Canis lupus familiaris: one gene and its partners. The protein of the gene in region 4 interacts with the protein of the main gene of each other region in a biochemical or structural test. Links are inferred from orthologs where the notes say so. Each region holds a gene or a part of one and is shown on either strand. Other genes may lie near its edges. The genes, in order: RPS6KB1, MAPK1, AKT1S1 and RPTOR.

The links.
Region 1: of the proteins of RPTOR (region 4) and RPS6KB1, one has a biochemical effect on the other in vitro, tested with the Homo sapiens proteins (6 studies listed by BioGRID and IntAct, with this or other methods). The link is inferred for Canis lupus familiaris from reciprocal best matches to the Homo sapiens genes RPTOR and RPS6KB1.
Region 2: of the proteins of RPTOR (region 4) and MAPK1, one has a biochemical effect on the other in vitro, tested with the Homo sapiens proteins (2 studies listed by BioGRID, with this or other methods). The link is inferred for Canis lupus familiaris from reciprocal best matches to the Homo sapiens genes RPTOR and MAPK1.
Region 3: the proteins of RPTOR (region 4) and AKT1S1 interact in a biophysical measurement, tested with the Homo sapiens proteins (2 studies listed by BioGRID and IntAct, with this or other methods). The link is inferred for Canis lupus familiaris from reciprocal best matches to the Homo sapiens genes RPTOR and AKT1S1.

What each region holds. Positions count from the first base shown.
Region 1 is NC_049230.1:34,349,477-34,357,162, forward strand, and holds the start of RPS6KB1 (ribosomal protein S6 kinase beta-1), read left to right. Parts: upstream 1-3,643; 5' UTR 3,644-3,747; coding exon 3,748-3,888; intron 3,889-4,404; exon of another isoform or gene 4,405-4,496; intron 4,497-7,686. Other genes in the region: TUBD1 (tubulin delta chain), read right to left, coding at 1,842-2,013. UniProt on the Homo sapiens protein: Serine/threonine-protein kinase that acts downstream of mTOR signaling in response to growth factors and nutrients to promote cell proliferation, cell growth and cell cycle progression.
Region 2 is NC_049247.1:31,188,669-31,195,912, reverse strand, and holds part of MAPK1 (mitogen-activated protein kinase 1), read left to right. Parts: intron 1-1,804; coding exon 1,805-1,914; intron 1,915-4,189; coding exon 4,190-4,306; 3' UTR 4,307-4,315; intron 4,316-7,244. UniProt on the Homo sapiens protein: Serine/threonine kinase which acts as an essential component of the MAP kinase signal transduction pathway. MAPK1/ERK2 and MAPK3/ERK1 are the 2 MAPKs which play an important role in the MAPK/ERK cascade.
Region 3 is NC_049222.1:107,358,981-107,366,817, reverse strand, and holds the start of AKT1S1 (proline-rich AKT1 substrate 1), read right to left. Parts: upstream 4,539-7,837; 5' UTR 3,868-4,538; coding exon 3,671-3,867; intron 3,663-3,670; exon of another isoform or gene 1,773-3,662; intron 261-1,772; coding exon 1-260. Other genes in the region: TBC1D17 (TBC1 domain family member 17), read left to right, coding at 4,814-4,834, 5,111-5,209, 5,439-5,513. UniProt on the Homo sapiens protein: Negative regulator of the mechanistic target of rapamycin complex 1 (mTORC1), an evolutionarily conserved central nutrient sensor that stimulates anabolic reactions and macromolecule biosynthesis to promote cellular biomass generation and growth.
Region 4 is NC_049230.1:1,876,949-1,884,192, forward strand, and holds part of RPTOR (regulatory-associated protein of mTOR), read right to left. Parts: intron 6,059-7,244; coding exon 5,948-6,058; intron 1-5,947. UniProt on the Homo sapiens protein: Component of the mechanistic target of rapamycin complex 1 (mTORC1), an evolutionarily conserved central nutrient sensor that stimulates anabolic reactions and macromolecule biosynthesis to promote cellular biomass generation and growth.

The DNA of each region.
Region 1 (7,686 bases), about 32 Mb from region 4:
GCCAATGACAGTGAAGATGGAAAGAGAAGAGATATGTAGGAGGTAAATTAAGCAGATCAGGGGATCCCTGGGTGGCGCAGCGGTTTAGCGCCTGCCTTTGGCCCAGGGCGCGATCCTGGAGACCCGGGATCAAGTCCCACGTCGGGCTCCCGGTGCATGGAGCCTGCTTCTCCCTCTCCCTCTGCCTATGTCTCTGCCTCTCTCTCTCACTGTGTGCCTATCATAAAAAAAAAAAAAAAAAAAAAAAAAAAGCAGATCATTATGTTTGACAGTATGTGGGCAGTAAGAGCCCAACTTCTAAAGGAAAGATAATGAATGCCCTAGGGTATGGAGATGTTGAGCTTGAGGTACACATGGGAATGCAGATGCGGATGTCTACTAATCAGTCTGCAGCCTGGAAGAGAAGCTAGGCTACAGATTTGAGTCATTAGCGTCAAAGAAGTAGCAAATCACAAGAGTAACTGAAATTGCCCAAAGAGAAATATATGAGTGAGGACAGAGGAGAGAGAGCTTGAGATGCAACCACTGGAGAAGAAAAGTTCAGAGACTAAGGAGGAGTGGTTTTTTTTTTTTTTTTTTTTTTAAGATTTTATCTATTTATTCATTAGAGACAGAGAGAGAGAGAGAGAGAGGCAGAGACCCAGGCAGAGGGAGAAGCAGGCCCCATGCAGGGAGCCCGATGTGGGACTCGATCTTAGGACCCCAGGATCAGGCCCTGGGCCGAAGGCAGGCACCGAACCACTGAGCCACCCAAGGATCCCCTAAGGAGTTTTAAGGAGGAAGTTTTATAGTTAATATTATAAAATCCAGGAGAGAAGTTAAGTGAACTGGGAAAAGAAAAAGTCACTGGATCTTGTGATAAGATTACTAGGATTTTTTTTTTTTTTAAGAGAGGGAGGCAGGGAAAGGAAGAGGGAGAGGGAGAGAATCTTAACCAGGTTCCATGCCCAGCATAGAGCTTGATCTCACCACCTGAGATCATGACCTGAGCTGAAATCAAGAGTTGGATGCTTAACCGACTGAGCCACCCAGGCACCCCACTAGGATCTGTTCTTTGAGCACTTTTTTTTTTCTTTGAGCACTTCAATTGGGTGTAGGGCTAAAACAGGACTGAAGTTGGTTAAAGAGGTTCACCTTTGAGAATCTTAGATGGGAAGGGAAAGAGATAAGTAGGAAAAGAAAAGCTTGGGGTGCCTGGCTGGCTCAGTCGGTTAAGCATCCAACTTAAGGACACTTAATCTAGGGGTTATGAGTTCCAGCCCTATATTGGGGTAGAGTTTACCTAAAGAAAAATTGCAAAGCTTATTCCAAATCTTTGGACTCTGTACCACCCCACAGTGCCTACATCCCCAAGGGAATAAATCTTAAAAAAAAAAAAATTTAAAAGCTGTAGTCATAAGTTGTTTGGTCGGTTTAATTTGTACTTATTTTTTAAAAGATTTTATTTATTTATTTGATGGAGACAGAGAGAGAGCACAAGCAGGCAGAGCGGCAGGCAGAGGGAGAGGGAGAAGCAGACTCCCCACTGAGCAGGGAGCCTAATGCCAGGCTTGATCCCAGAATCCCGGGACCATGACCTGAGCCAAAGGCAGACAGCTAACTGACTGAGCCACCCATGTGCCCCTATTTGGCTGGTTTTAGATTGGTGAGATCTGAGCATGCTCATGTGCTGAGGGGAAGTTGCCACTGGAGAGGCAAAGGTTGTTAACATAGAAAAAAGGGCGGAGAGCAAAGTCATTCCCTATTAAGATGTGAAGAAATGGGGTTCAGACACCATGTGGAAGAATGGCCTTGAAGAGGAGTCAGAGTACAGGAGAGGACTATAGATGGATCACACATACCTCCATTTTCCTCCTCACTAAAGAATCTTTCTTTGGAAGATGCTTGATATGCCTCATTTTCTCGTTCAGAGCAGAGTCCTTGGGGACAGTGTGAGTCACTATACAGAGCATCAAATACTTCAAAACCAATCTGATTGCCACACTGACCAAGTTGCACTGTTACTACTGACATGCTGAGATGCAAAGTAGACCTATTCCCTCAAAAAAGTAAGCAACCTGTAATAGAAAAACATAGGCTTTGAGAACCATTACAGTACTAATAAACAAAGAACAAATAAAATGTCATATGTACATAGATTAAAAAATTAATTTTAAAATGCCATATAACGTGTTATAGATTTAACAGGTATGTTGTCTAAGCAGCTAATCATTCAAGGAAGTTGTTTTCTTTCTCTACGTAGTTTTGGGATTTGGAATTTACTGTACCCAGATGCATTCATAGACAGCTCAATAGTTACTGAAATCTGATTTGTATCCACTGTGTCCCTAAGCATGCATTTTTAAAAAAGATATTTATTTTATTTATTCATGAGAGACACACAGAGAGAGGCAGAGACATAGAGAGAAGCAGGCTCCTCACAGAAAGCCAATGTGGGACTTGATCCCAGGACCCTGGTGATGGCGACCTGAGCCAAAGGCAGGCGCTCAACTGCTGAGCCAGGCAGGTGTGCCCCTAAGCATGCATTTAAAACAAAACAAAACAAAACAAAACAAAACAAAACAAAACGAATGTTAGTTGAAGCAATTCCTAGTACGTACTTTACACTACTGGGACACACAAAACGCAGAAGTTAGCTCAACAATTGCACATTTAGGGGATCCCTGGGTGGCACAGCGGTTTAGCGCCTGCCTTTGACCCAGGGCGTGATCCTGGAGTCCCGGGATCGAGTCCCCGCATCGGGCTCCCTGCATGGAGCCTGCTTCTCCCTCTGCCTATGTCTCTGCCCCTCTCTCTCTATGTCTATCAAGAATAAATAAATAAAATCTTTAAAAAAAGAAAAAAGAATTGTACATTTAATTAACCTTCTCTCTCTTCTAAATAATGACTTTCTTTCTCTACTGATCACCTTCTGCCTGGTAACTACAATAACATAAGAAAGACTGCATTTAGCTTAGGCAAGAGAGCAAGGGAGACAAAGCTTGGAAAGAGAGGGTCAGATGAAATAGGAGAGCAAGTCTTCACCACTTTTAACAACGAAATGAGACAATTTTTGGTAAAGACCTCACACCAGGTTTATGCAGCACTGGAAAGAGCAATGATCTTCGAGCCACACTGTACTTTTAATTTTCAAACAACCCTGCAAACTAGGTATTCTCATTTTATAGATAAGGAAACTGAGGTTCTGAAAGGTAAGTTTCTCCCTTTCCCCACCAGTCCCAGAGGCTCCCCATAAACCCCACTCACTGACAGACCCAAAACCAGCCGTCTCTCCGCTCTGTTCAAACTTCAGAGGGCCAACCCCCTCATTATGCGCATGCTCACTTTCAATACCAAAAAAAGCTATGGAGAACTAATGCGCATGTTCACAAACGAAGAGTTTTGTTGTGGGTTCCCCCCCCCCCCGCCCCATTCAGAAAGGTTAATTACGCATGTTCAATTTCAATTTATCAACTTCAGACATGGCACGCATGCTCATTGCCCATCAAACGCTTTGGCCAACAATGCGCATGATCTAGCTACCATAAGAGGCTTCGACGGGGGTTCTGCGCATGTTTCTGCCAGCACCCGGTTCCAGGCGATAGCTCTACGCATGTTCATTGCCCACACTTAGGCTTCACAGAACCTTGTACGCATGCTCTAGCGCTGAACTTGAGGAGCCAGTCTAGGGCCTAGGCGCAGACGCACTGAGCCCAAGCAGCCGGTGATGGCGGCAGCAGCGGCGGTGGCTGCAGCGGGTCCGGGCCCATGAGGCGACGACGGAGGCGGGACGGCTTTTACCCAGCGCCGGACTTCCGAGACAGGGAAGCTGAGGACATGGCAGGAGTGTTTGACATAGACCTGGACCAGCCAGAGGACGCGGGCTCTGAGGATGAGCTGGAGGAGGGGGTGAGGCCCGGGGTCCCGGGGGGCCCGAGGTGACAGGGCCGGGGCGGCGGCGCGGGCCCTGGAAGCCCGGCGCGTCCGAGAGCGCGGAGATCCGGGCGGGCGCGTGTAGTCTCCAGGAGGAGCGTAGGCGCCGCGCGGTCCGAGGCGGGGGAGCGGGCGGGGCGGACCTGGCACTAGGTGTGAGGCCGCTGCGGGGCTCGCAGGTGCAGGTCGCGCCGGTAGCCCCAGATCAGCGCAGCCCGGAGCAGTCTATTCGTGGAGGCGGCGAGAAGGGGTGCGTGGTCGATTCCTCGAGCTGTGGAACTTCAGTGTGGCGGGGCGCGAGAGGTGTAAGCGCGTGTTGGGGGGAGGGGGACTGCGCTTTCTGGGTGTCCCTGAAGTGCAGGTGAAGTGCGGAAGGGTTTCCCTTCGGGTATAAGATTTCATATATTAAATCTTCAGACCTCCCACAACCACCTCTCTTCTCGGCCTGTCGCTTCTCTCCTAGGAAGCGCTCAGCTGTTAGAAGTGACAGCTGAAAACTTCTGTCGGGAGTAGCGCTGCCGCTGCTGTTACAGCCACCAGGAGTTTTATTTCGGGAGCAAGGGGGCTCTGCTGCATCTTCCAGGGTTTGTTTGTTTGCTTTTTTTTTTTTTTTTTTAACCCCCCCTTCCGTGTGATTTTTTTTTTTTTTAAGCACTTAAAACGACACACGGTATTTGTAACTTTTCCCCTAGTTGAAGATGTCTACATTTTTTCGAAATACTTTGTGTAATTTTGGGGTGGAAAAAAACCAGCGTTGACAGCTGTGATTTGGCTTGCCAAAAATAAATTGCTTGAACTGAGACTTGTGAATGGTGGTGTGAGGGCTTTCCTTGCTGTAATTTAGGGTACTAAATTTAGAATTGTTTTTTCCTAATACATAGCTTGGTTTTACCATTGATGTCTTAATAGTTTGTTATTCTTTATGGAATAAAGAATATTCTTTTTTCAAGATAAATTTACTGAAAAATCAGAAATTGTGCTTGAAGTTCAAAAATACTGCTGTCATACTACATCACTGATTGTGGGCAAATGATCATCAGTGATAACCTCATGATAATTTAGGTTCTGAATCCCACTGTCTAGGTTAATACATGAGTTAAGGACGGGTGTCAGATATTTGCTCTATGTAAGGGGCTTCCCTTTTCCTCACCTGATTTTCTCTTCTGGAAAGTAAGTTGTGCCCTGCTTGTTGCTAGATCCAGGTACTATAAGTAAAGAGCTTTGGATATTTTAAGAAACTAAGTGGGCTGAAATAATATTATTCTTTTCATAATCAAATGAGTCTAAATAAAAATCACATAGTGTGTAAGGTAAGTATTGAGATGTGTACTTTTTAATATGTTTGCGTATGGAATTCCAGTTAGCCTTTTAGTGGAATACCTGATACACTACATACAATTTGAAACAAATATGGAATTACTTTCACTATGTATTGCATACTCTCATTAACTATATTGGCTCCATATGGCAGTGGCTTTGGAGCAGGGCAGGAGAGAAAGCTGGATAATTCAGGAGACATTAAAGCCCTTGGAAGTAAAACACTGAATTAAGATTTCTTTTAAGAACTGGGACCTCCTTGGGTGCCTGGGTGGCTTAGCTGTTGAGTGTCTGCCTTCCTCTTAGGTTGTAATCCCGGGGTCCTGAGATTGAGTTCCACATTGGGCTCCCTGCATGGAGCCTGCTTCTCCCTCTGCCTAAGTCTCTGTGTCTCTCATGAATAAATAAATAAAACCTTAAAAAAAAAAAAAAAAAAAAAAGAACTGGGCCCTCCTTGAGATGTATTTTTCACCTACTCATGTACATTCATTTTGCTGGCAAATGCAAGCAAACAGGTTTTTGAGAGTGTGTGGAAGAGGAGGCCAGAGAAATTGGTAGAAATATAAAAGAAAAAGAAATATGGCCTCTACCCTGGGAAGGAGAACTTTGGAGAAAAAGCAAAGGTAAAGAGGATTTTGAGGAACAGCAAAATACATCTTACTTAGCAATGCTTTTTGGAGTTGAAAATATTTTTTTTTGAATGTTATTCTAAGAGGTTCCTCAAGGTGGACAGACAAGCAAAAAGAGTTGAGAATGGGATTGAGTTGGCCAGTGACATCCAGATATCTCTAAAATAAAATTTTAAAATTCTAAAGGATGAGAAGCTTAGATTCTTGGAAAATCTGGCTATTTGTAAATATACATTTAGTACACACACTTTTTAAAATATCAGTGCACATTAGAGTAGTCCCACTTCTTCATTTTATAGTACAGAAACTGAGGCATAAAACAGGTGATTGCCCAAGACCATATAGATAACTAGTAGTTGACTAGTAGTGTCTTCTGACTCCATTCAGCCTAAGACTTCACTGCACACCTTCTTCATTGTTTTTACTAGTCTTGTTCATACTGTACTTCTTTGTGGTATGCCAAGTTCATTCAGATCCCTCTAGGCATTGTCACTGTATGACCTAGAATAAATTGCTTAATTTTTCTGACTTTTTTTTTGTTCTCTGCAAAATGAGGATTATGTGAAATAACCATATAAAATACTGCCCTCTTAAAATATTCTGGCATATTAAGCAGTTAGCTAGTTCATGGAAATACAGCTTGTTGGTGTTACTCATTGCAAAGGAATCAAATGTTCAGATTTACCCTCATGTATGCCTAGAGACTTAAATGCAGTTATACCAGAGGTGCTACATTTTTGAAACTAGGATTTTTAAATTTATAAATATATGCCTTTTTAGATATGTCACACTGACTAAATTTATATTAGCAAATATATGTATTTATACAGCATAGTTAATTCTTCATTGAGTAAAGCAAAAGGACAGTAAATGAATGCATTTATGGATAAAGTTGAATGTCTGTTACCTAACTTTAAAAAAAGACCCTGTTTGGTTGGTTTTTCTTAAGATTTTATTTATTTATTCATGAGAGACAAGAGAGAGGCAGAGACATAGGCAGAGGGAGAAACAGGCTCCCTACAGGGGAGCCTGATGTGGGACTTGATCCCAGAACTCCGGGATCATGCCCTGAGCTGGAGGCTGATGCTCAACCACTGAGCCACCTAGGGGTCCCAAAAAGACCCTGTTTGAATACTTCAGAGGACTGTGTTAAAAAGCAATGGGTAAGAGGGTTTTTTGGGGGAGGGGAAGCTGGCTGGGTAGGTCCAGGTCTTTTTTGTTTGCTTTTCACTGGTGATGGTATGATTTGGGGAGACTGAGTTGAAACTGAGGGCAAGTTTTCCTCTAAAGATTTTTTTTTAAAGATTTTATTTATTTATTCATGAGAGACCCAGAGAGAGAGGCAGAGACACACAGGCAGACGGAGAAGCAGGCTCCCTGCAGAAGCCCAATGTGGGACTCGATCCTGGAACTCCAGGATCACGCCCTGGGCCAAAGGCAGATGCTCAAGCACTGAGCCACCCAGGCGTCCCAAGGATTAGACTTTGCTTTTTTTTTTTTTTTTTTTGGATTAGACTTTTCTATTACTTTTAACTTTGTGTCTCCACAGAAAATAAGTTTCCAATATCTTCATAATCTAATGAAAATCTCCAGAGGAGGGGTGCCTGGGTAGCTCAGAGGTTGAGCATCTGCCTTTGACTCCGGGCGTGATCTCGGAAAAGTTTAATCCTTAATTTTTACTAATTCAAAATTTGAAGTACTCACAGAAGTTTATTGCATAGGTTTCAGGTTGGAATATCAGATTTTTATTGGATAAAAAGTTTACAGTTTTTTAGTGCTTTGAAAAGCAGTGCTAGAGCAAATATTCATGGTTATGAAACATTACAGA
Region 2 (7,244 bases), on a different chromosome or scaffold from region 4:
AGAGAGACAGGCAGGCAGAGGGAGAAGCAGGCTCCATGCAGGGAACCCAACATGGGACTCGATCCTGGGTCTCCAGGATCACACCCTGAGCCGAAGGCAGGCGCTAAACCACTGAGCCACCCAGGGATCCCCTTGATCACTGTTCTTTAAAAAAGAATGTTCTTTTTATTCCCTAGTAGTTTTTCAGACTTGGAATGGATTATCAGACTTGTTTCTTGGAATCCTTGGATTTTTTAGGGGTGCCTCAGAACTGTGAGCTAGGACTTAAGAAAGATGGATAGCGGGATCCCTGGGTGGCGCAGCGGTTTGGCGCCTGCCTTTGGCCCAGGGCGCGATCCTGGAGACCCGGGATCGAATCCCACGTCGGGCTGCCGGTGCATGGAGCCTGCTTCTCCCTCTGCCTATGTCTCTGCCTCTCTCTCTCTCTCTCTCTCTCTGTGACTATCATAAATAAATAAAAATTAAAAAAAAAAAAAAAGATGGATAGCTCCTTACTCCGTCAATAGCCTTGAATTTGAGAAAAGGACCTGCTTTGGAAAGGACATGAAGTGGAAACACTGTTCTAAGCATTGTCAAGTAAAAGCAGACACTTTTTTTAAAAGCTCCCTTTGCTGCTGCTTTTTTTTTTTTTTTTTTTTAAGATTTTATTTATGATAGTCACAGAGAGAGAGAGAGAGAGGCAGAGACACAGGCAGAGGGAGAAGCAGGCTCCATGCACCGGGAGCCCGACGTGGGATTCGATCCTGGGTCTCCAAGATCGCGCCCTGGGCCAAAGGCAGGCGCCAAACCGCTGCGCCACCCAGGGATCCCCCTTTCTGCTTCTTTACCAGAGCGATAATGTCTTTTCTAGCATGTATTCTTTCTCATTGAAATCTGCGCCTGATACTAAATGCAGGAAGTGTTCGGTCACGTTTCCCTTAACCCGTGTTCTAGCCACTGTCAGCCATGACCTTTGGCTTTTCTCATGGCTTGAAGTAGTGCCTGGACACTAGCTATGGAGGCCACCAGGGTGAGCTAATCATTAGCTGTCCCTCCATCTTGATCTGGTTGATGCTACACTTGCTTCCTATTCCTGTACTCTCTACACAGAAATATTCAGCTGCTCACTACTGACCAGATCAAGAGAATACTTAGGGGTTGCTTGGCTGGCTCAGTCAGAAGAGCATGTGACTGATGTAGAGGTCATGGGTTTGAGCCCCATGTTGGGTGTAGGGATTACTTAAATAAATTAATAAACTTTAAAAAAAAAAAAAGAGAGAGAGCATACTTTTGTTTTGGGCCTTGGAGAAAGATGCCAAGCTGCAGAGTGGGCCAGGGGGCCTGTGCTTCACACATGGATCTCAGCCAGGACCTGGAAACCACACAGGAGGACAAGTGACCATTGTCTTCTGTGACCTTAGAGGCCTTCTTTATATGTTGAAAGATAAACTGACCATTGCAGAGAGGACTTTGGATTTCAGAGAAATACATATATAACACTTTACCTTCAGATGCCTGCAAAACATAAGAATGGTTTAGGGGAAAAAATCCAGGTTTTGTAGGAAGAGTTGGGTTTGAACCCTAGGCTTCCACTTTCAGCCTTTGGCTGATCACATCACCTTTCTGAGTCTAGGTCTGCAATTGTTAGATTAGCCACAGTCTTGAGAAGCTCAGAGAGGTAATAGGCACCCAGTGTGCTGCTGGCTCTTCTCCCCATAGTGATGCTTAGTTCCATTGTTTCATGAGTCAATTTAAACAGGAAATGGAAAGTAATCAGTAAATGTTCCTTTGGCTTCTCACCACTGCAAAACCTTTCTCTTTGTAGCTCTGGATTTACTGGACAAAATGTTGACATTCAACCCTCACAAGAGGATTGAAGTAGAACAGGCTCTGGCCCATCCGTATCTGGAGCAGTATTATGACCCAAGTGATGAGGTAAGACCTATACCCTGGCTGCTGCTTCAGGAATATCTATCAGGCAGCAGTAGGCCCAACCAGGAAGGGCCCAGATGTCACGTTAGATTGGTTCTGAGAAGTGTATGATGCCACACCTGGTCCTCTCAGCCTGCATTGTCTGCTTGAGGACTAGTACTGTCAGCACAGCTTGAAACCTCTCCCTACCCCACCCCCCAAACCCCTTCTGTCTCAGAAAGCTTCCTCCAGGGCACCTGCAGCAGAGGTGGGACTGGGGAAATAGATGAGTAAAGGGGAGCACGAATAAACAGGCAGTCCAAGGCTAGAGACCATTGTCATGGTCTGTGGCAGGAAGAGCTACCTCAATCACAGTGCCTGTCTGAGGGTGGAAAGGAGGCCAACTGCCTGCTTGGAGAGGGGCATTGCAAGGGGGCGGTATGCCTGGTATGTGCCTGGTATGCCTCCTTAGGTATGGGGATACTAGAGCCTCTTGTGGTAAGAAATGCGTCCAGAGGTGGATGTGGCAGGCCTCCAAAGCCAGGTAAAGATCCTGTGTGTAAAAAAAAAAAAAAAAAAAAATCCTGTGTGTCATGTTTATCTCTAAGAAAGTCCCAGTTCCTTAGCCTCTTGGATTCTTCTGGGGCTTTATTCTCTGGATGGTAATGAAGAAAAATGTAGTATGAACCAAAGTTTGGATCTTTCTAGTGGAGGCTCATGCAGAGACAGTAAGCTTTCATAAGAGAACCAAGCGGAGTGTGTTAAAAGGAAAAATGGAAGAGGAAAAGAAAAAGATATAAAAGTTAAAAACTGATAAATGAAAGAGAAAGAAGAAATCAAAAAGAGGAAGTATTTCCTAATTAGCCCCCTTCCATCTCTGTCCCCTACCCTCAGAAATAATGGAGGCAGCTTACAAAGATACCTACAACATAATAAATAATAGGGAAGGAGGGGAGAGTGTAAAGTTTGGAGCTCTGACCAGCCCTATGAGCCCCCCGTGTCCTAATCACAAGCCTAGGTGGTACTCCAAATCCAGTTAGCAGGTGGGAGGACCAGAAGGATGGCATATGTGGGACACCATTGTGACCTCACACATACAGCTGCCCTTCAAAGAGGGCTAACTACTTGTTTTTCTCTTGTGGACACGAATCCTTTTCCCCCTTTCAAAAAACCAATGCTTAGTGCAGAGTTGGTGTCCATGTTTCCTTACCCTGAAGGCCTGGTGTGAGGATTACATGGATAAAATCTAGGAGTGCCTGGTAACTAGGCATCCACTGATTGATAGCTGGAATCCTCATCAGATTAGTTGTAGAACATTGTGTTAGTTTGGAGGTACTTAAAAATCAAAATATAAATAATATCAATTGACTGATTTTCTTTTTCACCATTGTATATATGGAAATTCTTTGACATAGTCATTTTAAATATGTACTTAAATATTAAATAGCCTTCTGATTAGTCATAGGTTGTGCTGAAAAGTAAAAATGAAAACTTGCAGAAAACTATGACAGATCATGTTGTAGTCTTGTTACACAGATATTAAGATTTTGGAGTATTTTCTTCTCAGTCTAATATTTCTGTATCTAAACTTTTTTTAAAAACAGGGTTTTGTTTAACACAAACATGCACATTTCCCCATAATATTATTCTTTCTTACGGCTTCATTTTTAATGACTCCATAGTAATTTTTCATATGAAGATAGTATAATGTATTTAATCAAGTATTTGATTTTGAGTATCATGGCTTTTGATTGTGTAAACCTATCCCCACAACAGCAAATTTCTGTTACTTCAATACTTAGTGCCTTAAAATTTTTTTTTTTTTTTTTTTTTTAAGATTTTATTTATTTACTCATGAGAGACACAGAGAGAGAGAGAGGCAGAGACACAGGCAGAGGGAGAAGCAGGCTCCCCGCAAGGAGCCGGATGCGGGACTCGATCATGGATCCCAGAATCATGCCCTGGGCCAAAGGCAGATGCTCAACCACTGAGCCACCCCGGTGTCCCAGTGCCTTAAAATTTTGAAAATGATTTTGGGATTAGTGGTAAATTCAGAAGAGTGGTCAAAATAGATTTAGTTGCTCCCCGTGCATTTACTGTATGTTCACAGAAAATGTGCCTTTTGGATCACGTAGATGGAATACGGGTACATAGATACTTCTCAGAGCTTTTGGGTTTCCAAAGATGTCAGTGCTACTATATACATTTCAGAGTTGAATCCACATACATTATGAATCAGTACATGACTACCTCAACCACAATCACTCTTGTCTACTCCATGTTCTTTGCTCTCCTACAGCCCATCGCTGAGGCGCCATTCAAGTTTGACATGGAGCTAGATGACCTGCCCAAGGAAAAGCTCAAGGAGCTCATCTTCGAAGAGACAGCTAGATTCCAGCCGGGATACAGATCTTAAATTTATCAGGTACCTAGAGTTTTAGTCGCACAACAAACCCTGGTGAGGGAGAGAGAATATAAATTAAATGTTATTAAAAAGAAAGGGGAAGCCTGGGTGGCTCAGTGGTTGAGTGTCTGCCTTTGGCTCAGGACATGATCCCAGGGTTCCGGGGTCAAGTCCTCCATCGGGCTCCCCACGAGAAGCCTGCTTTTCCCTCTGCCTATGTCTCTGCCTCTCTCTCTCTCTCCCTCTCTCCCTCTCTCTCTCTCTCTCTCTCTCTTAAATAAATAAATAAATAAATAAATAAATAAATAAATAAATAATAAATAAATAAATAAATAAAATTTACAAAATATTTCCTTGAGTTCCACATGGAAGTTTCCTTTGCTTAAGTTTTAAAGGGTGGTGAGCAATGTTGTGGTATCGGTAAGATTTCAAAAAATTGTGTTCAAGAAAAAGGAAATGCAGATCTTGATTTTAGAGAACATACAGAAAGAGGAGAGAGAATAGTGTGGGAACTTGGGAGTGAGAATTGTGTTCAACTCTGTAGAAATGAGCAGTGAAGTTGAGAATCACAAGCAAGGGCCAAAGCATTTGCTGGAGAAATGCTTTGACATACCAGCCTCAGGGGCTGGAGCAGTGTTGTGTGCTGCGTGCCCACAAGTGTCCATGGAGCTGCTGCGCTTGCCTTGGAACTGGAGGCTCCCTGACAGCAGAAAGAGAGGAATGGGTTCTGTGGCAGTATGCATCTAATACAACCATATCTCTGCTCCCCTCTTCCCTGTTTTGTCCATTGCATTTTCATATGATGGTTCAGGCTGAGGGCAGTACTGAGGCTCCAAGTAGAAACTGCTTGGGGTTTCACTTGGAGGACATACAAATGGTCAGAGGTCATTAGATGTAACCGCAGGAAGCTGTTCCTAGCCTCCAGCTAAAGGAACAAAAGTCAAACTGTTTTCCAGGGTCCTTGATCATCACACAGCAAGGGTGCTGGGCAGCTGCTGTAACTGCAGCTGTTAGATTATCACCATTGCTGAAAAGGGGTCAAGAGCCTGTGCTGCCACTGATGTGGGGGATCTCTGGAGCCTAAAGCCATCATTACCATCCTTCCTCCTAAAACCAGGAGTCTCCCTCCTAAAAAACCATGTATCGGTAAGAAGCAGAGAAAAGGAAACCTGTTTTTTCCTATATGTGCCAGCCATTGTCAGAACCTCTCAGAAGCCAATCACCAGTGAAGTCCAACAGTGCAGTGACAAGCTCCCAGCACTGTCATTAAGGACAGAGGACAGGGGAAAACTAGAAAGGATATCTGAGAACAGACATGGCCAGCTCAGCTTCAGAGAGCTGTGGAAGCCAGGCAGAGTAAGGCTGGGTTATTAACTGGTAGAGAATACCACTACCAGTTAGTGGTACTAACTGGTTAGAGTACCGCTACTCTACTAATGGGACAGAAAATGGAATTTTCAGAAGTCTGGTATCCAAGTATGGAGGGTTGGAGGAGAAGCCTGGATGGGAGATGAGCTCAAAATGAATCTTCCAGACCAGAGGGCTAGAGGCTAGGATGAGGGCTGTGGAGGTGAGAACCATTGTGTTCAGGAGAGTGGAGGGAACACAAAGTCTGAAAGACTCCAAATTTCCTAACCCTAGCACCTGGGGGCCAGGAGATCTTAGCCTGACACTGAACATGTCCTAAAAGACAAAGCATGTAAAGTGTGGAAGAAGTGTAGGCTTACAGGACATTAGGAGAATACTGATAAACAAGCCTTTGGGGAAGTGTCTGAATGAGAGACAGAAGGTGTTAGGAGGCTGAGTAGGAGTCTAGCAAGGCTTGGATTCATTTATCCTTTCATACCTCTTGGTGTGATAGTCTTTTAAAGTATTTGTTATGTACAGTGATCTGCAAGATCATTTACTGACAGGTCAGACCCCAGGACCAACCATTTTCACTCCTTATATTGAGTCTCCTTCGGTTCTCCTTTCTGGTCCCTCTGCTTGGTGCTCACAGTGGAAGGGGTCCTCTCTCTCCCTTCCTGTGACTGCAGGAGGTCAGATCAGCTGCCTGCGGTTTTGTAGATAAAGTTTAATCTGGCCCTATACGAGAACAGGTTTGCTGACCCCTGGCCTAGAATAGTGAGCTGAACTACTTCGGTTGCTTTTCTTCTTCACAATCCCTTTAGCAGCTCATTTTCCTGAAGTCTGTTAGTGGATTTTGTTTTTCCCCATCTTTTTCTTGTCGAACTGACACATACTGCATGCCTGTGATAAGCACATGTTAGACTGCCTAAGTGAGCAGAGCAAACAACTCTGAAACTGGCCTCAAAGGAGCATACGGTCTAGTAGAGTACAAAGACAGGCAGAACTGCCATGCACAGTTTTCGTGTAAAAGAATGTGCCAGGAAGGGAGCATTCTGTTGTCTGGGGAGGTGCTTGGCAGTGCGGGGCCAGGGAGTCAGGTCCGAGTGGGAGGTTGAAGTCCAGGCTTATCAAGGAGCCCCGCCTCTCCCTCCCAGGCATCTTCCGGTCCTGAAGCACCAGAGTACGTGATGCTAGGGCAGTAAGAATGTTGGGCAACCTCAGAGAACGGGCACCCTTGGGATCACTGGCAAGGCTACTGGAGGAGAAGGGCAGTGCAGCAGCCACAGAGGAACAAGACAAAGGCGAGCATGCTCCTGGGGATCCAGGGCGCAACTCCTGGGGCCTGACATCTGAAGTCTGAGTTAGCAGACAGAGGTCAAGGCAGCTGCCAGAGTCCACCCTAGTTCTGAGAGTCTGGGACCATGGCTTGTTACCATGGACAGGGGTGGCAAAGACCCTCACTCTCTGTTTAGTTCACTTTCTCCATGGGGGCAAAAGGCACAGTATGTGCTTATAGCCTTTTTTTCCCTATTTTCTGTTACTGAATTATAATTGACATATAATACTAGCTTCAGGTGTACAGCATAATGATTTGATTTTT
Region 3 (7,837 bases), on a different chromosome or scaffold from region 4:
GTGGTGCTGGCGGGGGCACGGGGGGCCGGGCAGCAGCAGCAGCCCTATGGGCCAGGGCGATGTCGTGGAGGCAACGGCGGGCAGCCTCAGCCAGGGCCCCACGGCCATGGGCCGCGTAGGCACAGGGGCCTGGGCGGGGTGGCGGGGGCGGCGCGGCAGTCAGCAGCACCAGCTCCGTGCCTGTCCGGGCCCGGAAGCGCTCGGCGGCCCCCACCACCGCCTCCCACAGCTCCTCGGGGCGCCCCGACGCCATCCACGCCCTGCAGGGCAGAGCAGGACAGAGAGCTGAGGCCCGGCTGGCTGCCCTGTCTGCACCTGGCCCCTACGTGTCCACCTGCCCCAAGACGCCGCTCCCACCCCTCCCAGCCACCTGGTCCCGGCTGAGCTCAGCCCCTTCCCCGAAATCTGCCACTCTCCACATTCCCCACCATCCACACCTCCTAGCACCGTCCCCAACCCTCCGGACCCATTCCTCCCGCCACGCCCAGTACCGACAGCCCCCGCCCCTCCTCTTGGCCCTGCCTAGTCCAATGTGGGCACCACCCGCCACCTGTGTGACTAAGGAGCCCTTGAGATGTGGCGGGTCCAAGGTGAGAGGTGCCATGAGTATGAAACCCACACTGGATTTTAGAAGACTTGGGACAAAAAAGGTTGGATGTCAGAGATCTCACTGGCAGTCTGAGGTTGATTACATGTGGAAAAGATGACATCTCAGATATAATGGCTAGTTGATATAAGGCGAAAATGACTTTTATCTGTTTTCCTTTGACTTTTTTAATGCAGCTTATAGAAGATTTGAAGTTATATGCCTCGCCTGCATTCTTTTTCTGCGGGACAATCATTCCAGCCTCTTCCTGAACCTCTGAGCCTCCAGTTCGGGCCCCTTGGGGTCCTCCTACACTGGAACTGCCCTTGCCTCTCCCTAGTATCCCCAGGACATGGTCGTAACCCCGGCTCTGCACTCAGCTTCACAACCTTCCAGACTTCTGAGCCCTCAGACCTGCAGTTAAATAGTTCCCCTATACCAGGTCCCCCTATACCTGGATAACTTGTTCCCTGATTACTTGTTGACCTTTCTCTCACCCTAGCGTGGAAGGAGCTTCCCCTCATCCCAGATGGGCTCAGTCCCCACTCTCTGGACTCCTACAATGTCTGAGAGTCCTTCCATTCTAGCACATATTCCCATGGGGAGTACTGTCTGGATCCACCTCCATCTCCCCAGCCACTGTGGAGCCACCTGAGGGGGAGCCCATGGGATTAATCTCTGAGCCGCCAGCATTGCCCAGCACCTGACAGGCCTCAGAGACCAGGGATGGAGCAGAAAATGGTGTGCAAGCTGCTCTCTGCGCCTAGACTCCATCCATGAAATTTTGTATTTCCTACAAGACTTTTCTGCCAGATGCCTTCCCTAGACCCACAATGCCCTGGGCTACATCCATTATACCTCACTGTCATTTGAGCTTGTGACAATTGTACCTGTCTGCCTCCTCCATCACACATCTGAGCTCCCCAAGGTCGGGGATCTGTACCCCAGAACAGGTCTGTCCTAAGCAGACAATCTACTGGATGCATCTACTTATGAAATGAAAAGAACAAGGGGTTGGGGTGCCTGGCTAGCTCAACTGGAAGAGCATGCAACTCTTGATCTTGGGATTGTAATCAAGAGCCCCACAAAGGGTGTAGAGATTATTTAAATAAATAAACAAACTTAAAGAAGAGAGAGAGAGAGAAAAGAGCAAGGGCAAGTGGGCTGGCTTCCGGCCATCTCAAACCTGCTGTGTGACCTTGGACCACTGACTGGCCCTCTCTGTGTCTCATTTTCTTCTTCCTGTAAATCAAAGTGGTTAAACCAGGACTGCTGGGAAGCCAAGAAGCCTCCTCAGGGAGGTAGGGGGCACCCCAACATTGGAGGAATTCAAGCAAGGTTCTAGTCCAGCCAGGGTTATTTGATTTCAATGTGCAGGCCCTTTTCAACTTATAATCACATGAACCAGTGTTTGCTGAGCACTGACTCTGTGTAGGGAGTCTACACCTCTCATTTCACCTCCCACCTGACCCACTAAGGTGGGAGCTGTTACCTCACTAATGAGACAGCCAAGGCCCATAGAGTACAAAGCCCTTGCTGGAAGCCACACACAGTGAGGTCACAACCAGCACCATTCCTGACAGACCCCATGGCAAACTCACCCTGCACTTCCCACATGCCAGGCAGGGATGCAAATGGATCATCACCATTCTCATGCTACCTTCTCCCCAACCCTATGAGGCAGGGGCTGTTATTACCCTATTTCATGGTTGCACATCAAGGGCTTAGGGAGATTCAGTATCTCGATGAGGTAAAAGGGGCTGGAGAGGAGAGCCTGTTCTTAATCCCAAATGCCATCTTGCCTTCCTTATCAGGAAAGGTTTACATTCAGATGGAGAAAGTGAGGCTCAGACAGCCTAAGGCATTGGTCAGAGTCCCAGAAGTTAAATGGGTCAGAGCAGGGCTGACTCTGCTGTTTGCCTGACTCCAAAATCCAATAGAACTGAGAAGTGCTCAGGGTCTCACCTACCAGAAGGAGGAAACCAAGGCTCAGGGCAGGGAAATGACTGGCCCAAGGTCACACAGCCTGGCAGTGCTAGGCCTAGGGCTTTCACATCTCTGGGACATCAGGATTAAACTCTCTGTCCTAGATCTTAGAGTAGTTACAGGATTGAAAAGAGTGTAATGGGGGTGAGTGGGTGTGAGGGTCCTCCCACTGTAAAGAGGAGGAGAACTGGGCAAATACAAGGAGGGCAACTCAACTTCTCTGCCAAGGCCTGGGGGCTCTCTGGCATTAGTTGTTTAAAAGTAGAGTGGCCAAGACCAGGGGAGACTCTACCCTTTCAGCTGCTGGAGGAAGTCTTGTATCCTCTAAGGAGCTCAGAGATGGACGGAGGGTCCTCAGCCAACCAATTTGAGGAGCCTAGGATTAGGGAGAGAGGTGAGACTTGTCCCCCAGAGGAGGGGGAGGGGAAAGCTAAGGTAATTGGCCCTTTAGGATGAGATGAGGAGGTGAACTGAAAGAAGTAACTCTAGGAAGAGGTGAGGAAAGAGGCAAAGTCCACCACGCAAGGAGGAATGCTAATTAAGCCCCCTTCCGACCACCTGTCAAATTGGCAGTGCACCCCCGCCCCAAAGTGGGAGAAACTCGAGGGTGGCCCCCCAGCCCCCACCCCGCGAGGCCGGGGGAAAGGTGAAGGCCTGGGCTCTTCCTCGACCTCTCAGAAACCTTCTCCCCACCTCGCCCGGGGGTCCAGGGAGGACCCACTTCTCTAGGAAGAAAACAGGAAATCCCGCCCAGGTGGGGGGCCAGGACCGGAAGTCCCGCCTTTGGACGGGTGAGGGGAGCCCCGAGTCCCCCCGAGCAACCCCCAGACCCTGTGGACATGGTCCACGCCAAGGCAAGGATCCTAGTGGGTCTGCAGACCGGAGGATAAGTCTGTCTAGGTTTTGCCTCCAGTGAGACACAACGGTTCCCGCGGGCTACCCCTTCCTAGCGCTCAGCGTAGGGTCGCTGGAAGATCTCTGCCCTCTGATCTACTCAGGCCATACCCCTCCCGCGAGCGGCTCGCCCTCCCAGCGCCCCTCTCCTCCGGACGGCCAAATCCTCCCCACACCGCGGTTCACAACGCCGCCTCCACTCACGTGCCCGTAGCCAGCATGGCCGGCCCGGCGCCGTCGCCGCCCTCAAAAGACATGGCGGCGCCTCGCGTCACTTCCGCGTGGTTGGCCCTCCTCCATGCTGCACACTCCGCCTCCCTTATCGGGGCCGCCCGAGACCATAATGACCACGGGGACATCACCGGATCACAGTGGGACAGTGGCGACAGCAGGGTGCCCATAAGAAAGATGGTGAAAGAAAGGCTTCAGCTTGCTCGGAAACAAGCCAAGACCATTTCGATTTGCTAAGAAATACGGCCGTCGGCACGTGTATTCTCAGGACCACAGTAAACTAAGGCCAGCGACCTGACGCCCCTCACCCATTGTCAACTTCTTCCACAGAAATGGAGGAAAGTAGTGCCCATTAACGACATGGCAACCATCCTAGCATCACTTGCCCAAAGCGTACATGGACTCTCCCTCCAGCCTATCCCCCTTTTCAGCACCAATGCTGGGGAAGATCCAATATGGCAACTTTTTTTGCTTCGCTTTGCCAGGCTTCAATATGGCGGCCTACACCGCCGCCTCCCGACGGTGACTCAGGAATTCGACTGGGTCCGCTTCGTACCCGGGGATACTGACGGCTTCATCCCGTTAACCCAAGTCCCTCAGCACCTCTCGTGACGTACGCCTCCTCTCACCTTCTTTTCCTTTACCCGTCTGTTTTCCAGGACCTTGCTGTTGCGCCCCTCAGAGAGATGGGACTGCCCCGCATTAACATGGCCGCAGCTGACAAGCTTTGGCCGTGCCCTCGAGCAAAATGGAATCTCCTTGGCTTCGATGCCAGTATACAATATGGAGAAAGAAGGAGGTGTTTCGGAGAGCGCTGGGGCGAGGGGGTGGAGCCCTTGGATCCTCCCCCTTGTTTACTCCATGGTAAGGGAAGCGGCACTGCGCATGCGCACTCTCGCTGGCCTGCCCCTCCTTCCCCGTGCGTGCCATGTGACTTACACCCTCGTGGTTCAAGTTCAGCCACCCCGTTCTGAAAGGTGGTTACGTCCACTCCTGTTCTAGAACAGGCAAGGGCGCTACCACTGTCCAGGCTTGAGGGGAGTCTCCTATCCGGATGTGACAGCACGGTGACCCGGAAAGGGAGAGGGCCGGGGCAGTGGGACCTCGGCCGCGGCTATGGAGGGAGCCGGCTACAGGGTAAGCACTGGGAACGCGTTCTTTCCCTCCTGGGGATGCGAAGCGACGCCCTCTGGTAGTCGGCTTCGCCCAACGCCCTGCCGGAGCTCTGGGAGCCCGGCTGAGCCGGAGCAAAGACACCATTCCTTTATAAATACTCTGTCACCCTCCCCTCGGCTGCCCTAGGGAAGACCCTTACCTTGTGGCCCCGCCCCCGCCGGCTGGGACGTTCCTCTGGGCACCGCCCCCTGGCTGTCCTGCGCTTGGGTCCCGCCCCTCACCGATTTGTGTCCGCAGGTGGTGTTTGAGAAGGGTGGTGTGTATCTGCACACCAGCGCCAAGAAGCACCAGGACCCGGACTCCCTCATCGCTGGCGTCATCCGCGTTGTGGAGAAGGTGGGCCAGGAGGGAGCAGGGCTCCGGCGGGCCCTGGGCGAGATGGAGGCGGCGTCTATAGGAGTATGATCTAGGAGGTCACGATGGGACCTTAAGAAGGCAGGGAGCGCGGACTGGGGGTATAAGGGGGGCTTTGTAAGCCTGAGGGTCCGGGCCGGGGAAGAAGTACAGAAATACGGCTTGCGGTGATTGGAGGGGAGTCTCTCTAATTCCTCTTTTCTTTCCTCAGGACAGCGATGTTCTCCTGCATTGGGTTCCTGTAGAGGAGGCTGGAGATTCCACCCAAATTCTCTTCTCCAAGAAGGTAGGCTTTTCTCTCTTCTCGTTTCTCCACTCGCTTTTTTCCAGGTTCAGGCAGTGGAAGATGTTTGAAGGACCTGGATGCAAACCCAGACTTACTTTTGGAGCTTGTGTGATCCTTGTTGGGATCTAGGTTCTCTTTGCTCCTTGGTTTCCTCTTGTCTGTAAAATGGAGCTGAAGATGCCCGATCAAAAGAAAGCTGACACCATGAGATTTGTAGCCTAGGGGACAGCTGCCCCCTCATCTGTTTGCTCTTAGGAGAGCCCTGCCAGGGTGCGAGAGGACGGCGTGGCCTGTGGATTCGGGTTCCACGAGCTCTCAGTCCACAAGAGCCTGAAGGGGTGTGGCATGTCCCCTTCAGAGAGGAAACACACCCTGACCCAGGTGGCTCACCCACTTCCCAGGACACCTTCCTACCCTGGGTGCCAGACTTTGCCCTTCTTGTTCTTAGAGGCTCCTGAGGCTTTTTGTCACCAGGCTCTGTGCTGGGACCCAGAGAGGAGTCTGACTTGGACCCTGCCTCAGTCTTCACCCCCATTCTACTTTGGGAAACTGAGGCACAATGATTGGAAGTTCCTTTTGCAAGATCAAAAAGCTAGGAGGTGTTGGAACTTGAGTTTGATACCAGACTCTCTGATTCCAGAGGCCTGCCCCTTTCTGGAGGAAGCAGACATTGCGCTGGAACCGTAAGGATAAGGGAGCAAGAAAATACTTCAGGGATGGCAGGAGGAAATGGGGTGTCTCTGTAGAGCAGTTTGCTGGAAAGATGGTTGATTCTGAAATGCCCGACTGGGAAGCTTGGATGATGTTCTAGAGGCCTCGGGGAACCATGGGAGGAGAAGGGTGTGGGTGTGGAAAGCTCTCCTGAGAGACCGTGCTGGGAATGGGCAGGTCCGAATAGAGGGAAGTTGGAGGCAGGGAGGTCAGGAAGAAGGTTAGAATGGTGTACCAGGGGTAGAGAGAATGAAGCCTCACTTGGGGCAGTGGGGGTTTGAATAACCTGGCGAGGGTGTGTATGTGTGTGTGAGACAAATGGAGATTCCAGAATTCTGCTCAAGCCAGGGTTGAGGAGGAAGCATCGAGCATTCTGCGTTTTTTGTCAGCTTCGCAGGTCGGCTGAGTGCCTCTCTTGAAAATGTGACTGTCCTCTTCGGCAATCTTATTTTTGACTAACACAAACCCACTGAGGGGGGCTCCTGAGTGACTCAGTTGTTGAGCGTCTGCCTTTGGCTCAGGTTGTGATCCTGGGGTCCTGGGATCAAGTCTCGCGAGCCTACTTCTCCTGCCTACATTTCTGCCTCTCTCTGTGTGTCTCTAATGAAGAAATAAATAAAATCCTGGGATCCCTGGGTGGCGCAGTGGTTTGGCGCCTGCCTTTGGCCCAGGGCGCGATCCTGGAGACCCGGGATCGAATCCCACATCGGGCTTCCGGTGCATGGAGCCTGCTTCTCCCTCTGCCTATGTCTCTGCCCCTCTCTCTTTCTCTCTCTGTGACTATCATAAATAAATAAAAATTAAAAAAAAAAAAATCTTAAAAAAAAAAAAAAAAAACCTCGCTGAGGTAGACTGCAGTGGAAAAGGCACACACGCAGAATACGCTTAGCTCCAGGGAACACAAAATCTGGCGGAAGACAAGTTAACAGACAAGTTTATTTTTCTCATTTTATAAGACACTCAAAGAGGCTGCTGGCCTTGGCTGGCAATGTCGGGGCCCAGATTGTTGAGACCCTCCTTTGCGTGCCCTGGTAATTTTTTAATGATTTAGCTGCAGCTCCTGTATCTGCCTTTTGAGGCAGGAAGAAGGGGGCAAGCAGGGTGCCAGTCACATCTGTCCTCATCAGAAAAAAACAAGGCATTTCCCAGATGCTCTGCATCAGGTAGGAGTTATATTTGGCCACGTGGAATAGAAACAGAAACGACCGTGGCTTCAGCTCGATAGTAGCTCATACTTCTCGCTTGAAAAGTCTAGAAGTCAGCAGTACAGGTTCACATGTCATCACCAATCCTTCCATCTTTGCTGTGTCATTCTCGGCATGGGGCGCCTTCCTCACGGCTGCCTTATGGACCAAAAAGGCTGCTGGAGCTCCAGCTTTTTTGACTGGTTTTGCTCACTTTGTACGCGTTGCATGTTGGTCAGGAGCTTTGCTCGTCCTGATTACTTATGGAAGCCTGCTGCTAGAGCAGCCACCATTCCTTGTGGCAGAGGGCAAGAGCTCTTGCCAGGCAATTAAACAGTCCATCCTGGGAGGGGTACATCCCAGCCCTTTGGTCAGAACAGGTTGCATAGCTCCACCCAGCCAGTAGAGCTCAGTGAGCTACGATCCTGC
Region 4 (7,244 bases):
ATCACGCCCTGGGCTGAAGGTAGCACTGAACCACTGGCCACTGGGGCTGTCCTCGTACGGAGTTTTGGGGGCTCTTTGTGCTTTCAATGCCGGAACTTTACCAGATACGTATTTTACAATATTCTTCTCCAGGCTGTGGCTTATGTTTTCATGATTTTAACACCGACGTTCAAAAAGCAGTTAATGTGATGAAACCCATGTACCATTTTTTTTTTCATGTGTGGCTTGTTCTTTTTGTGCTTCTCAAGGAAACACTGCCTAACAGGCCAGTGGGGGCTTCCAGAAGTTTCCATAGCACAAGGCGATGCTCTTCGAGTTGGTTTCTGAATATGGTGTGGGAGATGGAGTGATGTTCTTTTTCTGGGCAAACCGATGTCCAGTCACTGCAATGACACTTGCTGGAAAGACCACCCCCCGCCCGTAGCTTTGTGGAAGATCGGTGGGATGCACCATGGCTCCATTGCGGGGCTCCGTTCGGCCCCACTGGTCCCTGTGTCTGCCCTCCCCATTCCACTCATGACTGATGTCACAGTGACTCTTGAGATCACACGGTGCGAGTCCTCCAACTGAGCTCTGTGACAAAACTTCTTTGGTTATTTTAGTTTCTTAGCTTCTTCCCATAAACTTTACAACAGGGTTGTTGATGAAAACAAACCTGTTGGGGTGTTCGGTGGGACGGCATTGACCTGTGCCCAGGTTAGGGGCTCCTGACACCCGCACATCACTGAGCCCTCTGGCCCAGGAGTGCGCCTTCCATGCACTAGGTCTCTGCCAATTTGTTTCATCGCTGTTTTGTATTTTTCAGCATTTGGGTCTTGTATGTATGTAAGTATTTATTTATGAGAGACACAGAGAGAGAGGCAGAGACACAGGCAGAGGGAGAAGCGGGCTCCACGCAGGGAGCTGGATGCGGGACTTGATCCTGGGACGCCGGGATCATGCCCTGAACCGAAGGCAGACGCTCAACCACTGAGCCACCCAGGTGCTCCTGCGTACCTGCCCTTGAGACAGCACCACACTGTCCCCATTCCTGCAACTATGTAGCAAGGTTTGAAAACGGGAAGCCTGAGTTGTTTATTTTGTTTGTCCTTTATGATATTTTTCGTAAGCACTATTCTGGGACTCCTGCATTTCCATCTGAATTTTAGTCTGAGCTTGTTAGTTTTTGCAAAAAAAGGGGCAGCTGAGATTTTCACCAGCCTCACGTGGACTCTGTGGGTCTATTTGGGGACCTGCTGTTAAGAAGTCACCCGACCCGTGAACATGTGATTTCTTCCCATTTGTGTAGGTATTTACTCTTTAAACGCTTTGGTTTAAGGAATGTTTGTTTTAGAGAAAGAACATAGCTGACAACCAAACATCTGTTGGCCCCGGTGGTTTACAATCCAGCGGTGATTTACAAGACACGCAGGCGCCTGGCATGAGGCCAGCAGGTGGGAAGACAGGCAGAGGGGCGGAAGTGGCCCCCAGGTGGCAGGAAGTGGGAGCCCCCGTCCTCCTGGCGTGGCCGCGTGGAAGCAAGTGGAGGGTGCTGGCTGTCTCCCTGCCACCCGACCAGACACTTCATGCAGCTGCCATCACAAAGCGAGCACCTGGTCCATCCTGCTGATGCCGGAGGGGAATACACATGTGTTTGGTTTCCAAGCGAGCTTTCCAGGAAAGAACCAGGGGCCTGTGTTTTAGGAACTGGAGACCATGTGACCCCGGCTGGCCTCCTGACACAGTTCGGGCTCACCGCAAACTAAGCTGATGTGAACCGGTGTGAAGGTGCGCCCACGGCAATGTTCAGGCTCTGTGTGCCTGGAGGTTTATGTACAAGAAGAGAAAAAGGAGAAGTCGTTTCTGTGCAAGAGTATTTGAGGATATGAGAAAATGTTTGATATTCATAACCACGTAAGTGCAAAAAGCAGCACACAAAGCTGTACGTGTGTAATAATCCCAATGGCAGGAGAGAGAACTGTGTGTGTGGGAGAGAGATGGAGAGACAGAGAGAGATGGAGAGAGAATTACGGGGGACTTCCATTTTATTTTACGTTTTCATTTTCGGAGTTAAAAAAAAAGTTAAGTACACTTAAAAAAAAAACAGCTTCCTGGATGTGCAGACCTAAGCAAGTTCTGCATCTACCCCCGAGCACGGTCACACACAATCTTAAGTTGGGTCAGGGTGTAGGATCCGCGCCCTCTGCCTGGAGAAAAGCCTTCACTCTGCTCTTGGGCCTGAGTGCGTGTTAAACCGACATTCACTCGGCATATGAGGTCTTAAAACAGTCTGACTCTTTTTAAAGCTCTTTCTGTAAATAAACGTTATAGTTTAATCTGTTCTAAATCATGACACTAATAGTTGTGTTCTCTACAAAGTTCAAACAGTCTGAACGCGTATAGTGTAGAAAGGATAGTCCCTGCCCTCTGGAAGCAACGGTACGGGGCCACGTGGGTGGCTCAGTCAGCTGGGGGTCCGACTCTTGGTTTTGGCTCGGGTCGTAATCTTGGGGCCGTGAGATCGAGCGCTGTGCCGGGCTCCACGCTCAGTAGGAAGTCTGCTTGTCCTGCTCCCTCAGCCTCTCCCCCAGCTCCTGCATTCTCTTTCTCTTTTTCTCAAACAAACATGTAAACAAACCTTTAGAAGGAACAGCATGAGCAGTGTGATGTGTGGCCCTGGAGGCCTCCTCCCGTGCTCGTGCACAACTAGGCACCATGGCACCTGTGCGAGCATTTGGGACCATCGGATTATCTACCTTCGCTAACAAGGACTCCACACGTGTCCTCAGGCAGGGCGGCTCACGGTAGGGGCCGTGCAGCTCTATCGCACGAACACAGTGGTCTTAACTCGCGCTCCTCCTAATTAATGATGGATTTTTTGTTTTGTTTTATTTTCAACTTTTTGCTCTTACAAATCATTTTAGTTTTTTAGGATCTCTTTCTCAGAAGAGGGCTGTGGGTATTTTAGGGCGAAGCCATTTCTGATTTCGAGAACCACCAGTGAACTGCTCTACAGCAAGCTAGCGTTTTACCACCAGCAACAGTGGCGGAGAGCTCCTATTTCCCTGCACTCCCGAGAGCCCGCCTCTGGGTAAAATCAGTCTCCACTCTGCCAACCTGAAGGAAAAAAATCTATTACTTTTGTAGCCAGAATAAATCTCAATGTATCTTTTTTTTTTTTTTTTAAAAGCACATGACAGGCGGTTTTTAAACAGTCTTTCCAAGGCAGATGCGAGCCCTGTAAACCAGCGGAGGGAGGGGACGGTTCCTTCCTCAGTCACGGGAGAGCCACCTCCGGAACCGTTCTTTCTGGCCATGCAGACCTGAACAGAATCAGGCGGTGAAGAGACAAAAAGCCAACAGAAAGCGTCCTGGCCGCCACGTTGTGGGCCCCCCGGGCCCCCCAAGCGCGAGCTGCGGGATGCTTGTGAGCCATCACGCGGAGGACAGTTCTGCTCTCTGAGGCGGTTTAGGGCTCTGACTTCTGAGGTACAAGCCTAGCTATGAGCTGTTCTTAGTTTATGTGTGAAACAGGCTGATAAAAACGCTCCTAACGCATGTATTGCACGCATGTCGTTAGATGATGAATTAACTTAATAAAAGGACACCCCTGTGAACGGCACCCAGAAAACAGGGGAGAACAACTTTTAAAAAAATTACAAAGAAATAAAAATGCATCTTCTTCTGACATTTAGAAATGGTTTCTAGTTAACGCGAGGGAGAAGTTACTCGGGCGCCGGACCACCTCACATCTTAGCCGCCACCAGCAGCTACGGACAAAGGCCATCGCGACGGGCTCACCTCCGACCGGGAGGCCTCGCGCGTCACTTCAAGTGACCATCACCCGAGAGCCTGGCAGAGGGTTAGCAGGACTTCCTGACCGCCTCCCGCGGGCCAGGTGGGAGTGACACCGGCGAGGGCCCTCCTTCCCAGGCCCCCTGCAGCATCCCCACTCCGGGTGTCACCCTGTCCCCCCCTGACCTGCAGCTACAGAGGGACGGGGCAGGGGTGTGGGGTGCGGGTGTGCCCATGAGAAGCACAGGAGCAAACCTCAGGCCTGCGCTCAGGAAGCGGCCCTGCGGGGGCTGACGCCACTGCCCCCGCCCCAGGTGGCCAAGGACACTCACTGGTGAGAGGACGAGCCTGCGGACCTATGCCCCTCCTCCCTGCTGTCACCAAGGACGGCAGGGCCGGGTGCCTCTCAGACGGCCCAAGGAGCTGCTCATCACCCTAAGACAACCCCCGGCAGGGCAGGCCCCGGGCCCTAACCTGTTGGCCTCGCTCCCGTGAGGAGGAGACTGTCAGGGAGACTGAGCTCCTGCAGACCTGGACAAACCCTTGTCCCTCAGAGCAGACCAGACCAGAGTTCTAGGGTCGGCCTGCTGCCCACGGCCGCAGCTGCTGCAAATTCCAGCATCTGCTCGCTCGCTTGCTCCCTTCTTAGCGAGGGGCCCGGGTGGTGGCAGTGGGCAGGGCGCAGAAAGCCCGAAGACCAGCACAGGCCGTGGCCGCCCCTTGCGCTTGCTGCATTCATACTTTTGTTCTGACTGTAAAGCAGCTTGGTGCTTAGTATGGAAAACACAGGGGAGACAGCCGTGGATAAACACGCTAGGTGCCACGCCTACACGTCACCCGCCACCTGCCATGGGGCGGCTGCTTTAGCGTTTTCTGGGCACAGACGGATGTGCACAGTGTTTCCAACGGGGATCTCCCTGTAGCCAATTTATGTCCTGCTCTTTTCCCTTTTTAAAAGTTTTAGCATATTTCCTTAAGATTCCAATTTTAAAGCTTAATTTTTAAAACAATAAGCATCAAATATTTCCTGAGTGTTAAGCCCTCCTCTCCGTGCTGGGCCTTCAGGAGGATCCTAGATTTCATGAGATAAATAACACCCAGATCATCCACGACTCTGATCATTTCCTTGGGTCGGTGTCTCAGCAAACGAGTTACCAGGTTGAAGGGAACGGCTGCTCATGGCTTCTGACACTTTACCGCTAAACCGTTTTCTGGGAGTCGGGTTCAATTCAAAAATGGAAGAGAGATGTCTGCCTTGTCAGCAAAGGGGCTCAGCAAACTAGAACTCTGTCCTCTGCCTCAGGCACGGACAAGGACCGCCTTGTGTTTTTATCAACAAATAGCATCTTTATGGGCAAAGAAAAGCAGGATGAGAGTTGTCATAAAGGGTCCAGGTTACTCCTCAAGGAAACTGCTTGGATGTGTAGCTTGATACACAACCAAGAGTAAACCATGATTTCAATGGTCTTTACGAAAGAAGAAGAAAGTTTTCTAAGAATGTGCTTCATGGGAAAGTCGGCACTCCTGGCGAAGAGCAGCAGGACAAAGCGCTGCTGGCCCCACACTGACCCCTGGACATGCGGCTTGGATCTGGCACGACAGGACACGTCTCCCGTCAGGGCCAGGGGAGAAGGACACCTGAGTGCCAGGCTCCACAAGCGGCCCGGGCGCGCTGGAATTAGCCCCAGCAGGCAGGTCTTCGGGACAAGCCTGCTCTCCGGCCGAGCAGCCAGAGCCCACGCCCCGGGCCGTCCTCACCAGGAGGGTCTCCAGGCCTGGCGGCCTTGCCGAGTGGACAGATTCAGTTGTCCTCTGAGAGGGCAGGCTGCCTTGGTTTCTTTGAGAAGACAGGAGGGTAAATGAAGTCTGTTCCTTTTGCTGTTTTGACTGTTACATCAGCTACCATGACGGCCGTCTAGGGCGCCCATCAGTAGCTGTAATGTGACGGGTCAGGAGCCCCAGAGGGTCGGTGGCTGGGCTGGCGGGAGCCACCGAGAGTGACCAGCTGGGTCTGGCCATGAGCAGGGGGCTCAGACAGCTCAGGCCAGAGGTCGAGGCTCCTGGGGAAGGAGGGGACGGAGGGAGCCAAGGCAGGGCTCTGACCGACTCCAGTGTCTGTGCGAGGGCACAGACGGGAGGCCCACTTGGTACCCGGAGCGGAGGCGCACACTACCTTCATGACAGGCTGGGCGAAGTACCGGGCGCTCCAGTCACAGAAGCCAGTCTGTGTTGTGGCCGAGACAAAGCTTCTGTGTCCAGCGGCATCATCTGCATCGTCGGTGGTCTTCAGGGGCGTTTCGGGGGGAGGGGGAGAGAAAACAGGAAGAACAGTCACACACTCCACACACTTGTTTGTGAGCTCGAGAGGACTTGCAAGGAGACAAAAGGCAGTGGTCTGGCTGCTAAGAACGTTTCTCTGCTGGCCTCGCTTCTGCATCCTGGTGGCCAGGGACTCTGAACGCATGGCCAGGGCTCCAGGGAACCTGTGTCAGGGAGGGCCATCAAATCTGTGCTCAGGGGACCAGGTTCCCTCGGGGCCGGCCACAGTGGCTTGGGATGCAGAGCCTGTCACTCTTAAATCGGATGCTCAGGCCAGGCGCCATGAGGTCAGCAGGGCCTGAGGCCTCTATGGCCTGGAGGGCAGGGGCTTCTGGCACCCTGGCACCCACCTGTGCAAAGTAGCTCCTGCACGGGAGGGACACGCAAGTATCAAGACCTCAACTGCTTGGTGCTGCTCTACTGGACAACACATTTGTTTCCCACAGCACGGCCTACGGGGACCAGGGGGGCGAGGGTGGGAGTTCGCATCACTGTACGAAGCTGGGCACGGCAAGGCCCGCGATGCACGGGGGGGGGGGGGGGGGGGGGGGAACGGAAGGCGTCCGTCAGAGAGGAGCCCTGTTATCCAGGGGAGCCTCGCCTGGTGGAAAGTCTGACAGCTGGGACTCAGTGACAGGGTCTCACCCCCGACTGCTGTGGGAACCTGCGCTGCTCTGCTGGGCCAGGCTCCTGGGCTCCCGGCCCCCAGGGCAGTGAGCGCCCCCTATGCCCAGGTGCTCCAGTCTGACGGACCCATGTCAAGGTCCTGCCAGGAGGACGAACCTCCCACCGGGCACTTGTGGCCATGTTTGCTCCACCCAGTACGGCGGGAGGCCTTGAAAGCCAGGGCGGGCGAGGGGCCAGGGGCACGTGTAGAAACTACCACCGTATGTGCTTTTGCTCCAGTCTCCACAGCAGCCTGGCTCCCTTGGCGTGTCCTGAATGGCCCCTCCAGACTGCGTCCTTGTCCAGTAGAGCGGCACACCGTCTGGACAAGCGGCCAAGGCCACAGCTTATGGGTTTACAGCAGCCAGGCCAACGAAGACACCAATTCCTCCCGCGCCTGGAGTCTCTTTCCAGCTTTGAGGCAGAGACTGCAGCTCCTTATGTGGCAATAACAGGATGTTTGCGGAGAAAGCAAACAACCCACT